Oreochromis niloticus: one gene and its partner. The protein of the gene in region 2 interacts with the protein of the main gene of each other region in a pairwise test. Links are inferred from orthologs where the notes say so. Each region holds a gene or a part of one and is shown on either strand. Other genes may lie near its edges.

What was found.
Region 1: the proteins of poc5 (region 2) and cetn3 interact in binary tests that used the Homo sapiens proteins (3 or more experiments, as listed by UniProt). The link is inferred for Oreochromis niloticus from reciprocal best matches to the Homo sapiens genes POC5 and CETN3.

What each region holds. Positions count from the first base shown.
Region 1 is NC_031972.2:8,995,475-9,007,122, reverse strand, and holds the start of cetn3 (centrin-3), read right to left. Parts: upstream 5,621-11,648; 5' UTR 5,463-5,620; coding exon 5,446-5,462; intron 4,240-5,445; coding exon 4,104-4,239; intron 3,899-4,103; coding exon 3,784-3,898; intron 3,664-3,783; coding exon 3,472-3,663; intron 590-3,471; coding exon 546-589; 3' UTR 1-545. UniProt on the Homo sapiens protein: Plays a fundamental role in microtubule-organizing center structure and function. As a component of the TREX-2 complex, involved in the export of mRNAs to the cytoplasm through the nuclear pores.
Region 2 is NC_031977.2:16,909,591-16,921,327, reverse strand, and holds the start of poc5 (centrosomal protein POC5), read right to left. Parts: upstream 4,679-11,737; 5' UTR 4,569-4,678; exon of another isoform or gene 4,508-4,568; intron 3,909-4,507; coding exon 3,825-3,908; intron 3,004-3,824; coding exon 2,862-3,003; intron 1,867-2,861; coding exon 1,756-1,866; intron 1,625-1,755; coding exon 1,425-1,624; intron 587-1,424; coding exon 410-586; intron 1-409. UniProt on the Homo sapiens protein: Essential for the assembly of the distal half of centrioles, required for centriole elongation. Acts as a negative regulator of centriole elongation.

The DNA of each region.
Region 1 (11,648 bases), on a different chromosome or scaffold from region 2:
CATGTAAACTGGAAATACAACCATTCAAAATAGCCATTTATGAAATATGTGTGTCCTTTACAATATACAGACACTTCTGATAAAAGCAACAACATTTTACTCCTATTTGTCTCTATTTTCCCCAACAGTAAATTAATGTGTTTATAAAAGAGTGAAAAGATCTTTTTACAGGATCTAATTACAGAAAGGTGCGAAATGGTTGCAAAACACATTACATATTTAACAAAGATGGTATGACATGGGGGAAAAAACCCAACAAAAAAACTCAACAATGATTAGCTCATTTTAAAGACTAGCATGATATTGATACTTTAACTTTCACCTTCAATAAGAAATGAGTTTGGCTGACGTTGAATCTGTCACACAGTTCAGTGCTTTTATGGAATGACTCAAGTACAACCCTCAGGGTCAATGAAACAACTTCTGTCCACCTGCGATGCTTCAGAGGAAGCTGTGCGTCCTTGTTGACAGTCAAGTCGCTTAACTGCTCACAAATTGGACAACCAATCCAACCAAGAAGTCCTCAGCAACAGAGAAATCCCTCATCAGGAGTCCCCGCCCATAATTGCAAGGAACTCCTCCTGGTTTACTGGAAAGGGGGTAAACAAGTCCAGTCAGTCAATGAGAGCACCAAAAACAAAAGAAAAAAGTTTTAAAAATGACAGTTTCAGTTCTCTAAAATACAAAAAACCTTTCGTTTTTGCATGTATGTGTATATATGAATTTCTTGTAATCTTTTTATCTCGTTTATTTAAATTCTTTTATTTTGACTACAGCTTCTCTGTTCAGCCCACTTTGACCTTAAGTGGGCTGGAGCAGTGAAACTCCTCTTTCTGACAGTGTAAACATGTTACATAATTTATGTTCTTTTACATGACAAAGAAACAGCTGCTGTGACAAAGAAAGAAATCTGTCAACAGAGTCTTTGGACTTAAATTGTAAGAAATAAAATTACAGAAAAGGTTCTGGTAGCTGATTGCCCAAATGGTTTTTTGTTTGTTTGTTTTAAACTGTAGTGGTTTAAAAAAAAAAAAAGTGGAACATGCAGACATTTCTATATCTCTGCCATTCAGTTTGAAACCTTTTGTCCCCCTACAATGAAAATGGAAAGGGTATCACTTTAGCCATTTAATCAATTCTGCACTAAGCTTTGCAGTCCACAAAATCACTGAAATGCAGCCAGATGCTGCTTAATTTACATTTTTGCTTGTTTCTTCACATTTTCCTGACATGCAGGCATTTAAATCAAGCACCCCCATCTCTCTGTGCAACCTAGCTTCCAAAGGTAGGAAGTAGTAACAAAGTAAAAAATACTTTATTACTGTGCTTAAGTACAATTTTCAGGTATCTTTGCTCTACTTCAGTATTTATCTTTCCAACTTCTTTTTACTTTTACTCAAAACAGGTTCATTACTTTTGCTTTAATGTATTTGGTTCGAGCTATTTGTGTCAGGTAATTTCAAATGCAAGGTTTCTATCAGTCCAACAAGCACACAAACTATGTGCAGTTTGTCTCACAGTGTGTTGCTAGCTACAGGTCCAGCTGCTGTGTTTCACAGGGAAGAGAAAAGAAAGAGCGCTATCTTTAACTTAAAATCTCATGAAGTCATTATTAAGTAAGTTTAAAGAATGATTGACTCAATAGTGCTTAACAGAACCACAAACAATTTTTTTAGATTTGAGGCTTTCTTTTTCAGAGGAGCTCCAGTAGCCAGAGTCGTACACGGTAAAGATAAAAAACTATTAAGATATGTATTTTTCCCAAACTACTTGACGATAAATATGTTAAAAGAAAATTGTACATAGTGTGATCAGCTACATGAAATGTGCTCTTTTTATGGATCACTAAGTAAACCACATGTCTACGTGACTTTGTACCTAATAACTTTTGTGATGATAAACTTATTTACCAATTAGCAGCTTCCCCTTTTCTGGAACATACAGACTTAGAAAAGGGGAACCTCAGCTCTGAGTTCTTAGAATAACTTTGTTATCTTTGTACACACATAAGCTTGTATAAATAAAGAACGCAGACAGTGATACAGCGCGAGTCTGTGAGTATGAGCGCTCTATGACTGCCCTCGCGAGTAAAAGACAACTGCAGTGTTTGTGTTTTCTAACTCAGGTGTCTCAGCTGAAGAACTGCAGGGTGATTTTTAGAAATCCCTTGTCATTTAAATTGGTCCTTCAAGCTCAGCAATGGAAACAACAGACACGTTTCTGTGACTCCAATCCAAGGTCTGACTGCTGTATCCTGACGTCGTGTCGCCATACGAGCACCTTATAAATGGTGTTCATAGTAGGGCTGCCACGATTAGTTGACGAGTCACGATTACGTCGCCTATCAAAATCGTCGACGACTAATTTAATAGTTGACGCGTCGTTTGAAGCTTTGTAAGATCCCAAAAGACACAGGAATAAGTAGTAGGATTTAAGAGTGCAATAACGGACTGAAACACAAGATGGCAGCACTGCATGAAGAAGGATGCCAGCTGCCGTTAAACTCCGAAGAAGAAGCTGTGTCCCAGAATTCATAGTGCGGCCCTGCTCAGTTTCCAACAATGGCGGCCGCTAGTTAGTTTTAATATTACTCTTATTATTCTTTCTGGGTCACAAAATAAACATTTAACATATTTTCAGGCGAGAATGTAGCTGTGTAAACCTCAAATATCTGCTCAGTTTATCAAGACACCACATATTTTCAAAAGCGCTCCGACGTTTTCGGAGACGTCTGTTACCCACCAGCTCGATAGCTAGCCGGGATTCAAGGCTCATTGAAGCCAGTGAGAGCACCAGATTCCCGGCAAATCGTTTTCAAACATCACCACCGTCTTTCGCTACTCAGGTTAAAAACGATATATAAGTCACTTAGAAAACTTAAAAATGTTATTGTTTGGCTTCTTTTAGTATTTTATTTGTTCCTGAGTAAATCAGTTTGGCTGAGATTAAAGTTATAGTTTTTACACAGCTGAATAAACGTCAAGCAGACAACTGATTATCAGAAGTGTGAGATGGTCGAGAATATACTCCGGTGTCCTGTTATATTTTAGATAGCAAGGAGCAGACGGCTGAGTTTATTAAACTTCACTGAAACAATCTGCAAATTTCACTAAAATTTAATAAACTATCATCTTATCTTTATTTTTAGTTAGTACATACCTTAAACACTTAAAGCTGTAAGCTAATAATAGTTATATAAGAGCAGATGCATGCTAGTGCGTTGTACGTCCAACGGATGCATGATCTGATTAGTCGACTAATCGCAAAAATAATCGGTGACTAATCGACTATCAAAATAATCGTTTGTGGCAGCCCTAGTTCATAGGCCTCTTTTGTACGTACACCAAAACAAACAAAAGTCCTGTTCATCCACTCCTGCTCACTTAAACAAACTGAACGCGTTTCCCTTCTAGGGATTAAATGTATAGCAATAATTGTCAATGTCGAAGAAAAGAGCAAGTGCTGACTTACTTTCACCATCTCCGTCAGTATCGAACTCCTCGATCATGCTGCGGAGCTCTTCATCGCTGATATTCTCCCCAAGTTCCCGAGCCACACGTCTCAGGTTCCTCAAACTGATCTTTCCTGATTCGTCATCATCAAACAGCTTAAAGGCTTTCATGATCTCCTCTTTCGGGTCTCGCTCTAGGATGCGATCAGTCACTGCAGAACCATACATAACATGCATCAGAGTTACTGAAACACTTCAGTTAAAGATGTCAGAGATTTTCTTCCTCTTGGTCCCTGTCTGCACAGGGGCACATGCAGGGAAGGCAAACTTACCAACTTCACTGAAGTCCTCAAATGTTATTTTCCCATTTCCCTCTCTGTCATAATCCTTAAGGATCTTGAGAACATCCACTTTCTTCACTTCAAAGCCGAGTGCACGCATTGCCACCTGTTGACAGTTTGTGACAGTGAGATGTTTCTGTATTCCTACAGCAGCACAGCAGATGTAAACATGTGAGGAAAAACTGCTTTTTGAGTTCATTATGACAGACATATGGCACATATTAACATACTATACACAGCAGATTAAATACCGCTTCACTGGACTATTTTTGGCTGTCAAACTTGTTTTCCTCTCATCATCCAGTGCTCACCTTCAGCTCGTGGTAGTCAATTTCTTTGTCCTTGTCTGTGTCAAACAACTCAAATGCTTCTTTGATTTCATGTTTCTGATCCTCAGTGAGTTCTCTCCTCTTCTTACGCTTTGTTTTGTCTGCCATGAGCTCCGTTCTGGAGAAAGACAGATGCAGCATATGTTACACAAATGTACACAGGTTTCAGCTGCAATCATATTGCAAACTTTTTTCTTTAACTTAAGTGACATATTTATCCGCTGTTACCCCAAATTAAAGCTTCAATACAGAGTATGTTGTACAGCATATGGCAGAACACCACAGCTTTACAGAAGAAGGTAGCAAAGGGCTGACAAAACACACAATAGACAAAGACGCAGGCAGTGCACTCAGTGTTTAGACAACGTACACAGCCTTGTGATCAGTTTTACCCTAACAACTGAGAAAACGAACTTAAAATCTGTAACTATTTACAGACTGAAGTTTACAAGTATCTACACTCTGTGTTTGCAACACAAGCAGAGTGCAGTACATATATCGTTAGCAATGTAACGAAGTATCTACGACCAAATACTTATTCAGTAAAATCTAATTTATCAGCAACTTAACCACATGATAGAGTAATACTCTGACACCTGTTTATCTAAATATCAATAACATTACAAAATAACATAACAAAACAAATTGACTGTAGTATCATTATAACATTAATTGTCAGATACACATAACACTGTGAAGTGTTTGGCTGACAGCTGATACAGCTACTTTCCTCGGTTAGATTTTCTCTGTTTTTGGTCCTTTTCCCCCTTTCTGTGCCAATTCAACACAAGATTCTCCATGTATAATATTTAATATAAGGTTTCCCCCTTACAATTCCACTACACATACACAAAAGTGTATGTGCACTGAATAAAATGTAATCAGCAACAATGTTGGTCAAGAATGCTCATTTGTTTAAGAAAAAAAAGAGAAAAAACGCTCCTTTGTACTGGTACTGATGACTTTCTGCTGTGGCTATGCGGTCGATGCTTACTGAACGTGTACGTCTGTAGTGGATTGGATGAAAGACAAACGATGCACAGGGGTGGCATCTGAACAGTAGTTTTGCAACTAAATGTGGCCTATAGTACAGTGCATTGTAGTCGTCCAAGTCACATTCAGAAAAACAAACAAAAAAAAAAAACAGTAAGCAGCTAACGTCGACTCTACACTGATTAGTAGCTCCAGCTAATTCCTATGCAATATCCCTCCCGAACAAACACAGCAAAGTTAACATGCTAGCGCCTCTTATGTGAAAGAGCTAGCGACTAGCTCTGTGCGCTGGTATGAGGGATGTTGGAATAACTGCGACAAACCGGCTTACCTCAGAGACAGGCTCATTGTGAGGGGATTTAACGGCCCTGAAACAATTACTCTTATTACTGTCACCAAATACAATCTCACCGAGGCCGACACACAACAATTCCGTTTATCCGCGCTCACATTCACATTTCCTATTGGTATCTGGTCATCAGGCAGCAGCAAATTGCTTTCTGATTGGCTAGTGTTCTTCTTCTTCTGCTGCTTTTTTTTTTTTTTTTTTTTTTTTAATATTTCCTCTAGTGCAATCGCAGCGGATCGGAGCAGTATCGCCACCAGCTACACGTGTGCTGTACTGGATAACAATACAGTAGATGTGCACACGTGTATTGCAAATCAATACAAATCATTTAAACTACGAGGATTATAACACGTAAAGGTCCCTAAAATGTAGTAAATATTTAAGTATAATTCTGAACAGTATTCACCATAGAACAAGATCCTGTGAGTATTTTTTAGCGCATTTTATTGTGTGCCAGCTATGTTTAAAACCTATTTTATACGAGGCTGCGACTAATTACTATTTAAATTAATGTTTAAAATTTACTTGACATTATTATTATTATTATTATTATTATTATTATTATTATTATTGTTATTTTAGCAGCAGTAGTAGTAGTAGTAGTATTTCAACTGCTGAACAAAAAGAATATCCTATGTAGGATAAAGTATTTTTAATATTGTTGTGCTGATATTTTCTTGGTAAGTTTATTGATTTTTTTTCTAAGCATTTAGAAAATGATGCTGGACCTTTGCAGTCAATGCAAAAAGAAAATGGAATACCATGAAAAATGTTCATATTTGAAAATCTAGAACCATGAAAATTTTTTCACGTGTTCACATATGTGTATTTTATGTCTCTGGTCTTCCTACTCTAGACCTCCTCCACCTGAATAAAAAAATACATTTTCATTTTATTTATTTCTTCAGCAATCAGTAGTTGTTTTTTCATTTGTTTGTTGTGTCTGTTTTAGTCATTTGTGTCTCTTTGTAATCTTTTCAGATTTTATTGACTTTTTAACAAGAACTCTCAACTTCAAACAGAAACCCTGCAGGAGTCTTTTAAATCTGTAACAATTAATTTTTTAAATTAACATATTTTAAGGTGTTTTGTACACAATTACCTTCATATAAGATAAATGCTGTGCAATGAAAAATCTGTTTCTCTCTGAAATGCAAAGTATGGATTATTGTTTGAGAAGATCACTTCAAGTGTATGTATTTTATACATACACTTTAACGATCTTCAATCTGAATCTTTATTTGTCTGCAGATATCATAGTGTGAACCTGTTGATGAGGTGCAGACATGAGTTTGATATCAGTAGCAGGTGCATCCCCAGCACTTCCTGAATGGGCATCTTTCTCCTGCTAACCAAATGAGCTTCTCTGTTTTCTATCACCTACACTTTCAATTCTAACACTTACAGCTTTCTTTTATAAAAGCCACATATACCCACTGGCACACACATGCATGCAATACTTTATGCTGCTCTAAGTACTTCATAACTATATAGAGGTGGGACTCAAACCTCCAACTTGGCACTCAATCTCCTCTTCTGCCTGAGCCACAGCCACCCCCTAGTACTCCATCATTACTGTATAACTGAGGTATTAATTACCTCAAGGGATGAAAAATGAAGGCAGCGCTTTAAGTGCCAAAACCTACAGTTTCTCTTACAAGACATTAGCTGCATTGCTCTATTATATCTCTATTTAGCAGTGTACAGTGTATACCACTTATGATAAAAACTGCAGTCTTTTCTCTAAATTAGATAAAGACATCTGCTGTCTAAAACTGAGTATTGCAATAATGATGAGAAAGCCTCTCTCTTCACTGAGCCTTTTGTTAGGGCAGCAGAGGGATTATGCTGTGATTAACCTCCAAATGAACATTACTTACACCTTGAAGATATCTCATGCTTATTTCCTCCATCATGTTGTAGCCTGCATTTTCACTGTGGGTTCAAGATTTGCTTTCCTTACCAAAATTTCTATAAAATGCCATAAAAGCTTGCATTAGCAAAAAGTATTTGCATATTTGTTTTGAGGCAAGCAGTTAATATTTCACATACATTAAACCAAACCAAATTAGAAAACTGGTCTACCTTTTTAATAACTTCACTGAGATTGAACTAGGCTTTATTTATTTATTTATTTTTGTCAGCCAAACATGGGAACACTGTGTATAACGGCAACAAATTCATCTCATTAAGAGTGTTAGAGCTGAATTGAGACACACACCTGGGGACATCCACTGAGTCTGTTTCTTGTAGAACTGAGTTCAACTTAAACAGTCAGCTGTGGAACAGCAGACAGAGGCTTCTTGTGCTGCTTATGTGAGCCACCTCTGTCTTCAGCAATAGAGAAACACCTATGAAACAAAACATACCAATGCTTGCTATGCTTCCCATCAGTTATTTTGCACTGCTCAAATATATTACACACAGTGTCCACTATATTAGGAATGGCTCCTTACTTTCAGAAAGACTCAGTTCTGTATTAAAGGTGAACCTTCTTTGATAATCTGCTAACATATGCTAGCATGTCATTGCATCACATCAGTTAAGCAGATCTTTAAGCGCTTCCCAAAGGTGTTCTGTGAGACTGAGACCTAATGAATGGGGAGGCCAATGAACTAAACACAGAGTTTACTCCATACAAAATTACCCCATACAACCCAACTTGAAAAATGTAATCGACACAGTCCCTCTAAGAGATACTATCTGCGCGAAAGGTAATAAGTATCCGCCTATCATGTTTTCCAGGATGTTAATTCATGCTTTTCTGCCAAAGACACTGCTCATTTCTGTGCAAGGTGTCTTTTGGCAGTGATCTCTGACACGCTGAGTTATGGGATTGCTGTGAGGAGCGTATGATCTTTTGGCATGCAGGGAACGTCCATGAAACCAAAACACTATCTTTCCCTAAACCTAACCAAGTAGTTCTCAGAACATTAACCTAAAAACATAGTGTTTATTGACTAACTCTAACAAACTAGTTTCAAGTTTCTAAACTTAAAAAGCAAAACAAACAAGACACACACTCTCCTGACTGATAAGTCTGGAAAGTATGTATAATCAGTAAAATGATCAAACATTAGGAAAAACTCTTGATAGGGAGCTTTTGTGAGATGATCTCTGTCATTTATCTCATCACAAGTGTTTCAGATATTTTAGTCACAGCCAGATAGTTCCAAAAACATGCATCCTCCATTATCTGCTGGTTCTAAATTTGCAATAGATGAAGCAAGGTGTTTAAATACTTAAGCACATATAATAAAAGCTGTATGAGTAGGTGAATGTCGTTTATTGTATAGAGTGCTTGGGGTTCATTCATTGACAATTCTTCTGAATGCAGACATTTCAGATAAAATGTTTCTAGATTTGCTTATCTTTCCAGTCCATATGAATGTTGTCTCTTCAAAGACTTTCTTTACCACTGTCATGAACTTCCTACAGATAGTTCTCACCGGCAGTGACAGCACTGTGTGAAGTAGGTGCCACTGGGTCTCTGGTTATCTCCAAGTGAGTCTCCTGTTTCACATGTGTATGCTGAGATAGAAGCTGGAAGGAAAGCACTCACTCACCCAGGAAAGAAAGTGGATCTCTGTTCCTCAAAGTCTCTTCTTAACTTGATAATGTCCTGATGTCCAACCAGGCGTAAACGGTTCTTGTAAATCTACCTAGAGAGGCTTCATTCCCTTTTGCACGAGCAAAATGACAGAAATGACAAACGGCTCATAACCAAACTACACCCTGCTGCGGTGAATGGGCTCCCTCGAGTGCAGTAAAGCATCATACTGAAGAAGAGATGGGTGCGACTGTTCCTGCACAGATGTTCCATCGGTTTGAACATGGTGAGATTAAATGACCAGTAATTATTTGTTGAGTTTAAAGATGTGTTTGATTCAGATAATTGAAAATAGATTGTCGTTATGTATTGTCATTTTAAGAGAACTCTGAAGGTTTATTGTTTTATGAGATTTATGTTCATCGTCATAGAAATTTGTGGCTTGGTCTTTAATTTGTAGACACTGCAGCTTTCAAAAATGATATTCAAATCTAGAAATAGTTTCAGCATTACAGTGGAAAACCCAGAGTTCACTGTTAGGCTTTCAATTGGGCTGTTGCTGCAAAATATTGTTTCACAAACATAACAGATGGACTAAGCAGACCAAATGAATTACAGTCTTAAAAGTCAAAACGCATGAACACATGATCAGCTACAAACACAAAGGACATGTAGTTGTTCTTATTTTACTGCTTTTAATAGTATTTGGAGGGAAAAAAATCCCGGGCTGTTTACCCGAGAATTCTGGAAAATTTTGCCTTGCCATGACTATTCCAATATCCTCCTCTGCATGTCCTCCATAAATCTTCTCCTCTTGGTAATGTCTGGAAAAACAAATACCTACAGCATATGAGAGAAATTGGCCAAAGGATGGGTCATTGGCATCGTTCACTGGTTTATGTACTTCTGAAAACTGAAGCGTGGCATTTTTAGATTAGCTGCCTCTTTTGTTTGTTTTTTTAACTTGACCTTACAGACAAGGGTTGGATCTAACAGTTTTATTTATGGAAAATTCTTGGGCTCCTTCCTGTGATGTTGTAAGCTAAGGTCTTGAGTTTGTAATGTGAAAACATGCTAACAAAGTAGCACCTCGTCAGTCACTGTCATCATAGCAGGCAGTGGCAAGCAGAGGTAGGATGCAAACACAGCACTCAGAAGCAAAGCAGTAACTAAGAGAGTCAGATTTATTTGCTGTAACTGCTAGACTAAAAAGAAATACAAAAGTACAAAATTCCAAATATGAGAAATTGGGAATGAGGAAAAATTGATAGAAAGCACTGAACACATGGAAACACACAGCAAATGGGAACAACATGACAAGGAACAGAGGGAGACAGAAGACATAAAAATACACAGGAGGTAATTATCTCCTGTAATTATTGTCTGTCGTTAATCTGACTAACAACAGGGGAAGCAAAACTGAGTATAACGCTAACAGGACGAAAGACTATCAAAATAAAACAGGAAGCTAAAAGCCTGAGACTACACACATAAACTTGACAGAAAAAAATAAACATAACCCAACCTAAGCAAAGGTCACTTTTAAACTGAAAACTACAACAAATTCAAACGGAATATATGAAACAGAAAACAGTGGGTACAAAAGCAAGGATCATGACAGACATGCCTTAAAGCACACCTCTAGTCATTCATTCTACTCTTAATGGACACATGTTTTACATAAGGGCCATGCATTTTGAAGAAGACTTGAAACTAGCAACTGGGAGTATTAATCCCCATTTAATTAGTGGTTAGGATTGTTGCTTGTTACTGAACCTATGGTGGGTTCTAGTATGTTAACTCTGGATGTTTTCCCGGTGGTTGCACTAGTTATCTCGATGGGTCTTCACAAAAGAGAGTCTAAATCTCAAGACTTGGACTTGTCAAATGAAGGTGAGTACAATCAGTGATGTGTTATAGTTTTGTCAGGAGGAGGAAGCCCAGTAAAAAAAATAACCAGTAGCGCTGTACTGCATTTGACTGTAGCTATTTGTGTGTCAGACCTCCATGCCTCAGACCAAGCTTGTATTTCATACCCCCTCTCCATGCTTGAACCCAGTTCTTTAGGTCTAATAAAACAAGCACATTCAGGATCAGCAGGCTGCACAGAGGTGGCTTTCTCAAGAAGCCACATGTGAGCGTGAGCTTGAAGCACATGCTATGTAAACAGACCAGCAAACGGTCAGCCTGTGCATGTATGTAGGTGTGTGTGTCTGACTTTGACTGAGGTAGGCTAATGGAGACATCAGTGGCAGGTTAGAGAGCTGGACTCAGAAAGGAGTGCTTGTTTCTACTCGGACAGAGTTTGATTCACATTTTTCAGAAGCTTAACTCTGGTTAAAGGAGCTTTGTTGATACTCAGATAACTGAGTCTGAGGCTTGAATTTACACAACCCTGGGCTATTTCAGTGTACAGTGTACTGTATTACTTTTTCAGCAGACCTTTATAAATTTAGTAATATTTATAATTACTTATAGCAGTCAAACTTTAACTTTTGATAAAATTCAAGTTTAAGCAATTCAAAGTGTTTGATGTAGTGAAGCCTTTGCTCACCACACTGCTGGTGACTATTAACTGGATTGTGTAAATGAAAAAAAAAAAAACAATTAAAAACATTACCAGATCACAGAAAAA
Region 2 (11,737 bases):
CCATGTTTGGCACTGATCACCACCTGCACTCATGTATATATCTATCTACTTAGCACTTTTAATTCTTATTTTTATGTCTATTTAAGCGTTATATGACAGTATGTTTGCACTAAGTACCGCAGCAATTTCCTAATGTGTAAACCTGCTCAACATTTGGCAATAAAACCCTTTCTGATTCTGATTCTTTGTGGAGACAAGGGTGAGACATTAGTTGATGTCAGCTTGGAGTCCATGATTTTGTAATGGGTGTTTTTACAATTTTCTCGTGTTTTATTGACGAAAAACAAGACACCCCCCCTCGCCAAAAAAAACAGGTGATTAAATAAATGACATATTATTCTGCAAATTACCAGATAACAAACATCTAAATGATTTACTAGATAAAGCAAATAAATAGACATGTAGTCACCTCATCTTTCCTTTGGTTGGAGGTTTCGTAGGTTTGTAACAGCTGTTTAAGGCTATCTAGCTCTGACTTCAGGCCAGCTGTCTGGGCTGCATGCCTCTCCCTCTCCTTCATCATCTCCAGCTTGTGTTGCTCAATGAAGGCCAACTTCCACTTCCGTAGCTCCGTCAGCACATTTGACTAATTAGGGAATAGAAGTTAGGGCTGTCACAATGTGTTCATTACTCTACTTTAGCAAACATGGGCATCTGTACACATATCTGTAGTCATTTTTAAATTACATGAACAGGTGTGCCAGACAGATGCAACTGCAAACACAGAAATCTTTGAGAATTCATCTCTAAGTTTTCTTTTGCTGGACTCAGTTCTTGAAACATCTGAAGTCCATCAAGCTTAAGCCAGATTTATGCTACTGCACAGAGTGTAAGAGTTTTCCACCAGAGATGTCTTATTTTACAGTTCTGATGTGTAGTTCCAGGTTTAGAAGAACTTTCAAACCCCTCCCTCAACACACGAGTGTACTATTTAACCCACATCTCATCTCATTCTGGCTGGTACTGCTTTTTTCCTAGATTAAGCTCTGCACAGCTTAGCAGGTGATTGGCTGTCATCTGCTCTCCATGAATGAGCTGTACAAAATCAGAGGAAAAGGGCAGGATGGACACCCACATGGAGACACCCATTTCCTTTAGAATAATGTCTCCAGGAAACACAGTTAAAAGGTCAACGGTTCCATGAAGAGCAGCGAGGTGTCATCCTTTTCAAAAAGTCATCCTGAGGCTCAGATACATTCCCTCTATATAATCTCTAATCTGACCACAGGCACAGTATAACTTTCTAATGACAATGGCAGAGAAAGAAGAGTGTGAAAAATATCATTATGATCAAAAATGCCAGAAACAGCACAATTAAATTTTCTCTGTCTGTGCATAAATGCTGTTTACAGCTATGTAAAAGCCCACAGGAGAAACCGAGTGGCTGTGAAGGACAGCTGTACACTGTGTGGAAGCAGACTAACCTTCAGGTTGTTGCTCCACGTGTCCAGAATGTTCTCCATCTTGTTTATATTCTCCTCTGAAATAAACATCTCTGTCACAACAAACTCAAAGGGTTCTGGGGTATCTGGCCTCGACCTCTCAGATGCCACAGGTAACCTCTCTGAGGGATTGTCTGAGAGCAGTGACACCCTGCTAGACGAATGACCTGCCATCTTCTCAGCTGGAGGGGGGGGGGAGCACAAATGCAGACAGACAGGCAGACTATGGCTGAGAATATGAAACAGTATTGTGACAGTTACACATAATACATAATAAGCATTTTGTTTCTCTGAAATTTTACAATTATTTTACCATGAGAGGCTCTTGAGTGTGTCGAGTGTGGCTCAACAATCAAGGGGGAGGCCTGTGACGATCTCAGGCTCCTGCTAGAGTGCCTCCCATCCTTAGCTTCAATGGCAGAATCTGGAAGAAGATGCAGGAGTTACAGTGAGCAGGCAGAGGAATAGATACATGTGGCCAAAGATAGATTAAAATGGTTGATTAAAAAAATTTAAATCCAAAAAAGTCAGAAAACAAAAAACAGCTTAAGAGCAGAAAATGTGAAGGTGAGAGTGGTAAATAAGATGAGTGTGGCTCCTTGTCCAAGAAAGCATTTATGTCAATATCTTAATTAAATTCTGCAGGGAGAGAGAAGAGAAAGCCTGCACTCTAAAGAGCAGTACGGGCAGAGTGCCAGGAGATCATTACCAATTGGCCCGTCTGCTTTCTACATCCTCGTGCACTACTCCATGACAGTTAAAGCACTAAACCTCAGATGAGAGTCGCAACAGGGGAGGAAACTGATGGAGTGTTTAAGATGTGGGTATTGCAGGGGAAAGAGATAGGGGGTACAATGTGACAGACTGATATCTAGCCTTTTACACTGGTTTAAAAGATGAAAATATACACACACACACACACACACACACACCACATTTTCTCCATATTTTTGATGCCAAATCCTTTCTGACAGACGATCATTTGATGCAGACAGTGTCTGGAAGGGCTCACATTCAGTTTCTGTCAGCCAGTCCTGGTGAACTGTGTGTCTGAAAGTCTAGAGAGCTTGAAGAAAAAAAAACAAAGCAAGTGTACTTCTTCAAGTATGTGAGGATGTTTCATCTCTCTCCCAAGAGGCTTCTACAATTCTTAAAAAACAAACAAACAAACAAACAAACAAACAAAAAACGGGCAGCCACCAGTGTTACCCCTCAGTCTCAAAAGTTCTGTCCCTGGGATAAACCAGTTTTTTCCAAAACCTTTGCTCTTGGATCAGAAGGGAAACATCTTTACGACCTTAAAGAAGTTTTGTTGCCTCTTTTTCTAAGCTCTCTAGACTAACATGACCTAGGTGACTGTGAACCTACACACACATGTGTATGAAAGTGTTCTTCATATACAGGAGGAAGCCAACATACCTGGTACATGTTGAAACTTTGTGCCATCTTTATTTCCACCCGCTGCAGACAGATGCGAGGTGCTCCGCTGCTTCAACTGAACGCCAAGCGTGTCAAATTTAGGGGTGATAACAGCATAACGGAGGAGCTCCTCATACTCATCCTGTTAATTGATAAACAATAACAAAGAACAAGGTGGTCAAATATCAATTGAAGCACGTTACAGTTTGTATTTTTCTGTGTATTGTTTCAAGTCTGTTTATTTTGGTTACAACATTTTAGTGTAACTCTTCAATTTTGACACCTAGTGATGCTAAGACCATGTTATGTAAAGCTTTGCTCAACCTAACAGAGTCCATGGACTTGGACTCCTTTGGACTTAACTGCTTTCACACTTAAAAAGGTTCCAGTTCAAGCAACCTGATATCACACACAATTTTGGTTGGCAGACTAATTCAAACTGTGTAAAATGTTGAATTTAATATCCAAACTTTTTCAGAGCAGCTTCTAGACAATCTGTCCTTTTATCATTTAACACAAAAACAAAATAGATGTGCATTTCCTTTTAATACATAATAGATTGATTTAATTTTTACATCCAATTAAAGGATTTGGACAGACTGAAATTGGGTCTAGTAAAACGTATTGACTGTCCAGTAGCTTTAACCAACGTCACAATGATGTGTAACATAATGCTGCTGATCTGAAATGTATGGAAGCTTGTTTCCTCACCATTTTTTTTTTTTTTGCTGTCCTTAAATCAAAATTTACTATCTTACAATTCCTACTTACCAACTCAAAATTTAGAGTTGTTTATCACGAAATTTCCACTTACTGAGAAGTAAAGTGAAATTTCAAGACAGTAACTCAAAAAACTTGAGATAACTAGAAACTTTGAGTTATCTATGCCTGGCTATTTTTGTTTTCCAGTGGTGGAAACATGGTTCCATAGAATTATGAGTGTAAATAAAAGCACATGTTCACCTGAAGCTCAGAGGACACGGAGCTGCCCCGGTCCGAGTCTTTGGGGAGAACAGGACTAGTTGGTTCCTCTTCGTCTGAGGACATCTAAATACAGAGATATAAAGTGTCATTATGCTAGTTTAATAACACAGCATGAGCGATCAATACCTGGCCATAGGGACGGGACCTACTTTGGTATGTTACTATATAGTATTGATTTTAATTTCAGCTATGGCCACCACCGTAATCTTTGGCAGCTATTGATAGTCGTTGGTACTCTTTTGCTTCCCACCTACCTACTCATGTTTTGCAAACCGTACATGGACATAAAACATGTTTGGGTGCGTTTGATTTATAAAAGAAACTTTAATACTTATTTCAAGCCACAGCTGAAGCCTTCTGTTTAACTTTCTTTAGCACAAACGCTAGTTTCTACACTACAAACTAATGAAGGTACACACAGAGTAAACAGAAAACATCCTCATGCACAAAGAAATCCACGAATATGCTTATCTGTACGCTTAAAAAAATCTTACACTTTTCTATATTTTACTCATTTACAAGCGCATTAATTGATCGAGTTAAACAAACATTGTTAGCTAAATAAATCAGAGCTAAAGCTAAAACAGAAATGGAGAAGTGAACACAATAAATACAGCTGAACATAAAAAAAAAACTAAACTACTTGAAGCGAGTATATCTACCTCTGTAAGTAGCACCACTTTTCGGAAACTCGTAACTATTTTATATAACCATAAAAAGTACCACGCTTGCCCGTTTCACAAGTCGTCAGTTGAAAGGTGCTTGCTTTGCCGTTTCAAACAGCCTGGCTCTTAAACAACAGACTCTCTGATTGGCTACTGTTTCTAACTGGCCCTACTATCTCGCCTCTGATTGGTTAAACTATTCCCATGGCAACGATAAGCGGAACGAAGCTGCTACTCTTGTGTTTTAAATATGAAAGGTGTGCAAAACCTTTTACTGTGATTTTGGAAAATATTTTTTATTTACTTCACACTTATTTTAGCCTCCAGTGTCACAGTGCTGTAAGTATCAGGATTTTAAACTAAAGGAATCATGGTGATAGAGGCAAATAGGACCTCTTCTTTTATAACAGGTTGAAAATTAATACTTGAAAGACCTACTTTAATTGCCCCTAGAAAGTTTCGGGTTTGCTTACTTTGCTAAAGTTACATGATTGGCTCATTTAAAGAGCAACATGGTTTCCATATTGTGTTTCAAATGCAGTCTGATGTTATCTAAGATTATATGATTAAGTTCATTTTCATGAAGAAGTAAACTCACCTGTCTTAGGAAGGTGTAGGTCCTTGGGGAATACCACCAGCCAGTGAACCTCCCTGTGGTCATTTCTCTATTGTTCATGAGCCCAAATGTGGATACAGACAAGGGTTCACAATCTGAATTGCAGCAGTGCCTTAACCACTTGAGGACTTATTAGTACTTAACAGTATTATGGCACATATGTGGGATAGGCCTTAACGGCTTGGCAATAGTAGCCTGGGACGGACTCCTGAGAGAGGAGACATATGGTACCTCTCAGCCATGGCAGAGCTGAAAGCAGCACTGTTGGACTAGAGCCTCCTCACCAGCTGGCTGAGAGTACTTCACTGTCCGAAGGTGTCCAGTCAGCATTGTTATAAGACCTGCAGGCTGACATTAAAAAAAAGAAAAAAAAGAAAAGAAGTAGTGACATTGGTAACAGCACAGCAATCTTCCCCTAAAACAACAGACTGAGAGGACTCGCACCGTTTTGGATGTAATACATTTTCAAATCAAATATTTTGTACTTACTGAAAGCAAGACCTGGCACAGGCAACCCTCAGCACACACAGACACACACATTTTATTACATGTCTTGACAGCTGACGCAGGCTGTGAATTTGAACCAGAACTGTGAGGCGCAGAGGATAATCCTAGCTGCTCGGCGGGGAGTGGAGGTTTCCTGTTGAATGACAGGAAGCTGTAACTCCCCACAGATTACTTATTTCCATTTCGGAGCAGATGATTCACATGTTTTGAAAGGTTTCAGTGATGCATTCATCGCAGTTTCTCTTTTGAGGTGATTTTTTTTTTGTCATTCCAGCATGGTGTTGTTTTGCTTCTCTGGTTTTCTGTCATGCTGTGGTATATTCCTAATTTTCTGCACTTGTCTTTCTCTGTAGGAAAGTTAAAATGACAAGGACTGGCTAAGACTAGACCATGACAGGATTTGCATATAAAAAGCAAAAAAAAAGAAAGACAGGAAAAAAAGCAAGGAGTTTTAGACCCTTGTGCCATCTTTTTGCAATACACAATACAACACATGGCAGACAACTGTAGATGTGTTTAATACTGCCCAGGCTCTTCTTGTCTGCTACACGATTTCTTTGCCTTGAATGCCCGTAAATTGCATCTTGCATAAGATTAAATAAAGTTAAGTGTAAGTCTGACATCTAAATTAATCTAACTAACACAGAGCAACAGTTAAAATGTAGGCAAATTATTTGAAACCATCTCCATTCTTTGCAAAATGTTTTTCTTTTGCTGCAGAAAAAAAGGTGATAAACTACTGTTGATAAATGGTTAGATTACACCCGGTATTACCACCTCAATGCTTTCTTTAGATCCCTTTTGTGAATTTCACCTTCCTCTCAGTAAAAGAAATGCACCTGGGCTTGTGTGTTGAAATGGGATTCAGCTCACATTCTTCTCCCACAGCCTGTTCAATCTGTTCCAGGACAATAATCACAATCCATTTGACTTTCTTCCCTCTGGTATTTTAGCTCAGCTACGTTAGACTATCCAGGACCTTGCAAAGGTAGACAGAAAAGAAATGAGAAAATAATGTTTTGAGCTTTTGCATGTTTACCTTGTTACCAAGCCTTTCCTTGCTCAACTTTTATTTTTTTCCCCCAGAGAATTTAAATTTAAAAGATTGCAGAAATGTATGGCATTACAGCCCCTTTCTTTTGTCCAGCATGCATCATTTCATCTGTTGCATCTGATGGTGGAACGGTGGATTACAAACTTGGTGTAAAATTGTTTCTGCCCTTGATCGATTTTCAGTCAGACGTACTTACAGACAGCCATAACTCCTGAAGACAACAACTAATGTTCTATCATCAATCGTAATGTTATCAACCAATTTTTCTCTTATATGAGACAATAATGACCTCTCACTGAAGACAATGTTACCAGAACTCATCTTAGAGTTATTCATCGCTGCCTGCTGTTTTCAAATTAGTTTTCATTACATGTTGATGGACCAGGACTTCCCCCTTGGGGCACTCTAATCCATCACATCTCTCTATCAATGACATCCGTGTCTTTTTGTTTTGCTCTCTAGGTAGCAAATTCACCGGCACTTCTAAACACATACCAGCACACAGATGAGACACAACAAGGCAGCAGATTTTCTTATATCACATTCGAAACGTATCCCTGCAGTATGACTAAAGCTGAATCTAGTATAAAGTGGTCAGCAGTATGAATGTAGATGAGCAGTGTAGGTGGACGGAAAAAGATGGAGGCTAAATCAGTTAACCAGGGCTTCTATCTCCACAAGACATAAGCAATTACCATCAGTGTCCACATCTGTTATAATCTGGATGAAGATAAGCAGCAGACAGTTGTTCCAGTGTAATTTATCAAGGAAAGCTGATGCAGCAGGTACAACATCCATATATCAGACTTATATATAGGACAATATAACTGGCTCATCTTGCTTGGCAAATAAAAAGTTGCTGGTTCAATTCTACAAATTCCCATTGAGCCTGAGTTAGGAAGAACATCTAGTGTAAAATTCAACTTACAGAGTGACCCCTTGTGGCAAGGGAGCAGCTGGAAGTAGCTTTTTGATGCTGTCCTCTCATAGATTTAGCTGAGTAAATTTTTTTAACAGAACTAATGAGTACGTAATTTCACAGTAGTGTCATCCCATAGTTTTTCAAACCGTCTCAGCATCTCGGTCTGCAGCACATGTAGCAGAGCAGCATTACAGCTGAGGAGGTGGAGTCAGCCTGTGTGTCCTTGTTAAGTAGTCACTAAACAATGACCCTGTTGTTTTACCTTCCCTTCTTTGTGTGACTTCTCTCCAGGTAGTCCAGCTTCCTCCCACAGTCCAAGAACATGCTTGCTAATTGGTGGTTCTAAATTGACTCTAGCTATGAACATGAGTATGAATGCGTTTCTGCCTCCTTGTGTTAGTCCTGTGATGGATAGACCTGTCTAAGTCACCCGGCTCTTACCCAGTAACAGCTGGGATAGGCTCCAGCCCCCCTCATGTTCCTGAATTGGGCAAGCAGAAAATGAATGGATGGATGAAGTTCATAACTTAGTGTTGGGTGTTTTTACCAAAAATTTGTCAATATCAGTGTGGCCAGTCAAGAACCCATTGCTTAGTCAAGCTAGGTATGGCAATGACCATGTTTTTGGGGCGGCCTCCTGTTTCAATTGGTAGTCATTGTTAATGCAGATTATTTATGAAACCTAATAAAATGTCAGCGTTTGACACACTCATTTCAGCAAATGTAAGCCCTCTATTGTTGTCCACACACACTGTTTACCTTCCTGCAACGAAAGCCTGATCAAACGTGATTGGTCAGTGGAAATCAGACTACAAGCAGAGTGGTACAAAAATCCCTTACCTTGCCTATAGACTCTGCATACAGGCCAGGCAAAGGCAAGACAAAGTCCAACACTGGCACTATTCTAATAACCACCACGAATAGTAGGCTGTATTTACATGTAGCATGGTATTGCATTAAATTCACATCTATTGTTTGTACATGTAAGTGTCCAAAGCTAAGGGAAAACCTCCTCTTTATCATGCTTTCTGTAATAAAAGATACTGCAATCCATGAGGATCTGCATGTGTGTGTGTGTGTGTGTGTGTGTGTGTGTGTGTGTGTGTGTGTGTGTGTGTGTGTGTGTGTGTTTGTGTGTGCCATTCTACTGTCCCGTACATTAAGCTAAGTGCTCCTCAGCTCTACAGCAGTGGTAAATGGAGTCTTATGGCTCGGGGCTTGGAGGGGGCTTCTCAAGTCCAAATCAAAAGCAGAGAGTGTCCCAAACCCCAGGTCACTGCTTCCGTGAATCATCAAGTTCAGAGGAAAAGGATAGAGGCTTTTCTTTTTATTTGTGTGTCTGAGCGTGTGTGTATGTGTTTCCCTTCACGTTTTTGTGTTGTGCATGTTTCAGTGCACAGTGTGTGGATCATTTAAAATCTTACTCTCTGTCATTTGTCCTGAACATGATGCATAGCCAGCGTTACAAGCATGTCATGGTGCACAACTAGCCTGCCCTATTCACTGCACGTCCTTCCTATTAACACGATGATTTTTTTAAAAAAGTTTTTGAATAATGAAAGTAAAGAATTAGATGCACTGGATATAACACATCAAAGAGCTTGCTTGTACATATTTTCTGCAGTGGACAGTGTTCTGGTGTCTCACTGGTTTTGCTGGTATAATTTGCAGCTGTAAACGATGTGAATACTGAAAAGCTGAATGTCCCTGTGCTTGCATCACTCTGTATTTTCCTTCTTTCCCCCCTTCCCTCACTTTCTCCAGGAGTCACTTGCGGGTAGTATCTGACATAGCAGCGCACTGTCAGTTGCTGTATCATGCTTAATCTAAAGAGCCTGGGTATCTCTTAACAGCCTGTGATCGGTTATGTAATTATTATAACGGGACTGCACACCCTTTGTGTGGTGTTCATCAATACTATTAGTCCCTCTGTGGTCTTTAGTGAGATGGAAGAAATTAGCATTTCTCTTGCTTAAACTGCATTGGGAATTCAAAGGCTTTACTTACTGCTCAGGTTACTTTACACTGTCAAATTAAGCTTAGCAGCTTGTAAATGAAGTAAAAACCAGCTATGGGATGCTGAAATGAAAAAAATGTGAAACCTGATTTTTAAGCAAAATTGTGTAAAGCAGTTAAGAGTGTATTTAGATATGGGATCGATATTAAAGTGTGAAACCCTTTTCCCATTTGTGTTGTCTTTTCCAGAGTAACCTGTTAATGAAGCATTAGTTTGACAGAGACTGTAACAGAACAAGAGAGGCAATCAGAAATTTTGCCCTGCACTAGTATGAGTATCTCTGGCTCCCGGTGCATGGCTGCAGGTGATCAGATTTCAGTGTTGTATCATGTGTCCGCTGAGTTCATTATGCTGGAGTTGTGCCTCTGCACTCCTTTAAGGAACTTCAGTCTTACAGGAAAACACAGTACTCCTGGCAACTGAAAATTTGTTGCAAATAACATGGGATTTATCTGCTGTGCTCTTATTGGTGATTATCAGGAAAGCATGAAGATTTGGTAAGGTACCCTTAAGGAATCCACACCCACAGGGGAATCACTTTGATCAGATCCCCTGACCCCATCATTGTTGTCCTATTAGTGATCCAAGTGAAGACTGGTCAAGAGCTGAAAATCATTTTTACACAATACAGCTTTTGTGACAGCACTTCTTTTTATTTTAATGCACTTTATTTTGTAAGGTAAAGTTCATGGTTTGAAGTTCATTTATGATTCTCTCCCTTGCCTGATTAAATCCACTGGGAAATCAAATTGGGTAAGATAATATAGTGAGAGTTGATGCCAGTAAGACAACAGTGTGTTAGTGCAATAAAAAGGGTTGAATAAAAAAAATGTATTGGTGATGTGGACTGTGTGCGTATTTGTGTGTCTGTTTGGCTTCATTCTCAGTGCCATTTGTTTGTTGATCTGGCAAATATACATATAAACTACTTCACTAAAATTCATGAAACCTGGTGGAGAGGTGGGGTATTGGACAAGCATTAAGTTAATTATGGTTCAGATCTGTTAAAACTGACAGACAAGCCTCTAGCAGGGGTCTCCAGTACTCCGGCTGTATGTGTGAGATGCTGAATTGCCTCCCAACAAGAATAACCAGTACGTTCCCAACATTTGTAGAACTTCAGATTATTATATTGTTAATCTATGTTATTATTTAGTGGGCGCTGATTGTTTTCCCTCATAATATCACAAACATCAACTTGACAGTTTAAAAACAAATATGAATATATCATTTCTGACAAGTGTAGGGACGTGGAGGAGTGTTAATCTCAGGGTGTGCAGTTAAGTGTAGTAATGTGGACTGTTGTTTTGGTTTGTGAATTGCCTCTACTGGATGCAGACTATTGTATGTTTATGTATGCATATGAGTACTGATAACTATCAAACAGCATAAAAAGTGTAGGATTGAACACCCCCCCGATACTTCGTGTTTACAATGCACTTTTTTGCAGTCAATCATAATTTTGCACTACTTGTACTGACTATATAAACTACAGATTTTCTTCCACAGCTTCCGCATGCCCTGAAAGCGACAGGCTATAAAAGTACTTCAGCAACGATGTTTGCTAATAACTTTCAGAGCGATGTCAGTGGCTCACAGAACGACTGTGCATGCAACATATCGAGCATTTTCTGAGAAGTTATCTGAGGTAAACTGGGCGCGGAGGAGTTGGTCGGTCAGCACCACGGACAGAGGCGAGATTTCGTTAAAATGCGTTGTGCGGCTTCAGGATCCACTCTGCATAACCAAGGTGAGCTCCCAGACAGCTCCACTTTTAAGAAAATGGTTACGGTTGACTCTAAGAACAGACGGAGGGGAGCTGAGTTGCAAGAATCTCTGCTGTTCACAGAATTTAGATGTCGGGATATTTTTGCAACTTGTCTTTCGAAAGAAGTGGAAAACTTTTCCCTTAAACATATCTTTTCGGCTCAAATGGGCAGGCGTCAACTCCCACAAGTCCTACAGTCTGTGTCTTGTAACTATCCCCCAAGACTGAGCAAGTAGTTCCCATACACACGAACATACTGGGCTGTCCTACAGTGAATGTGCGCAAACCTTTCTCATCTGTTTAGCATTCATGCGCTGCAGTGCTGCGCGTCAGTCACCTAACT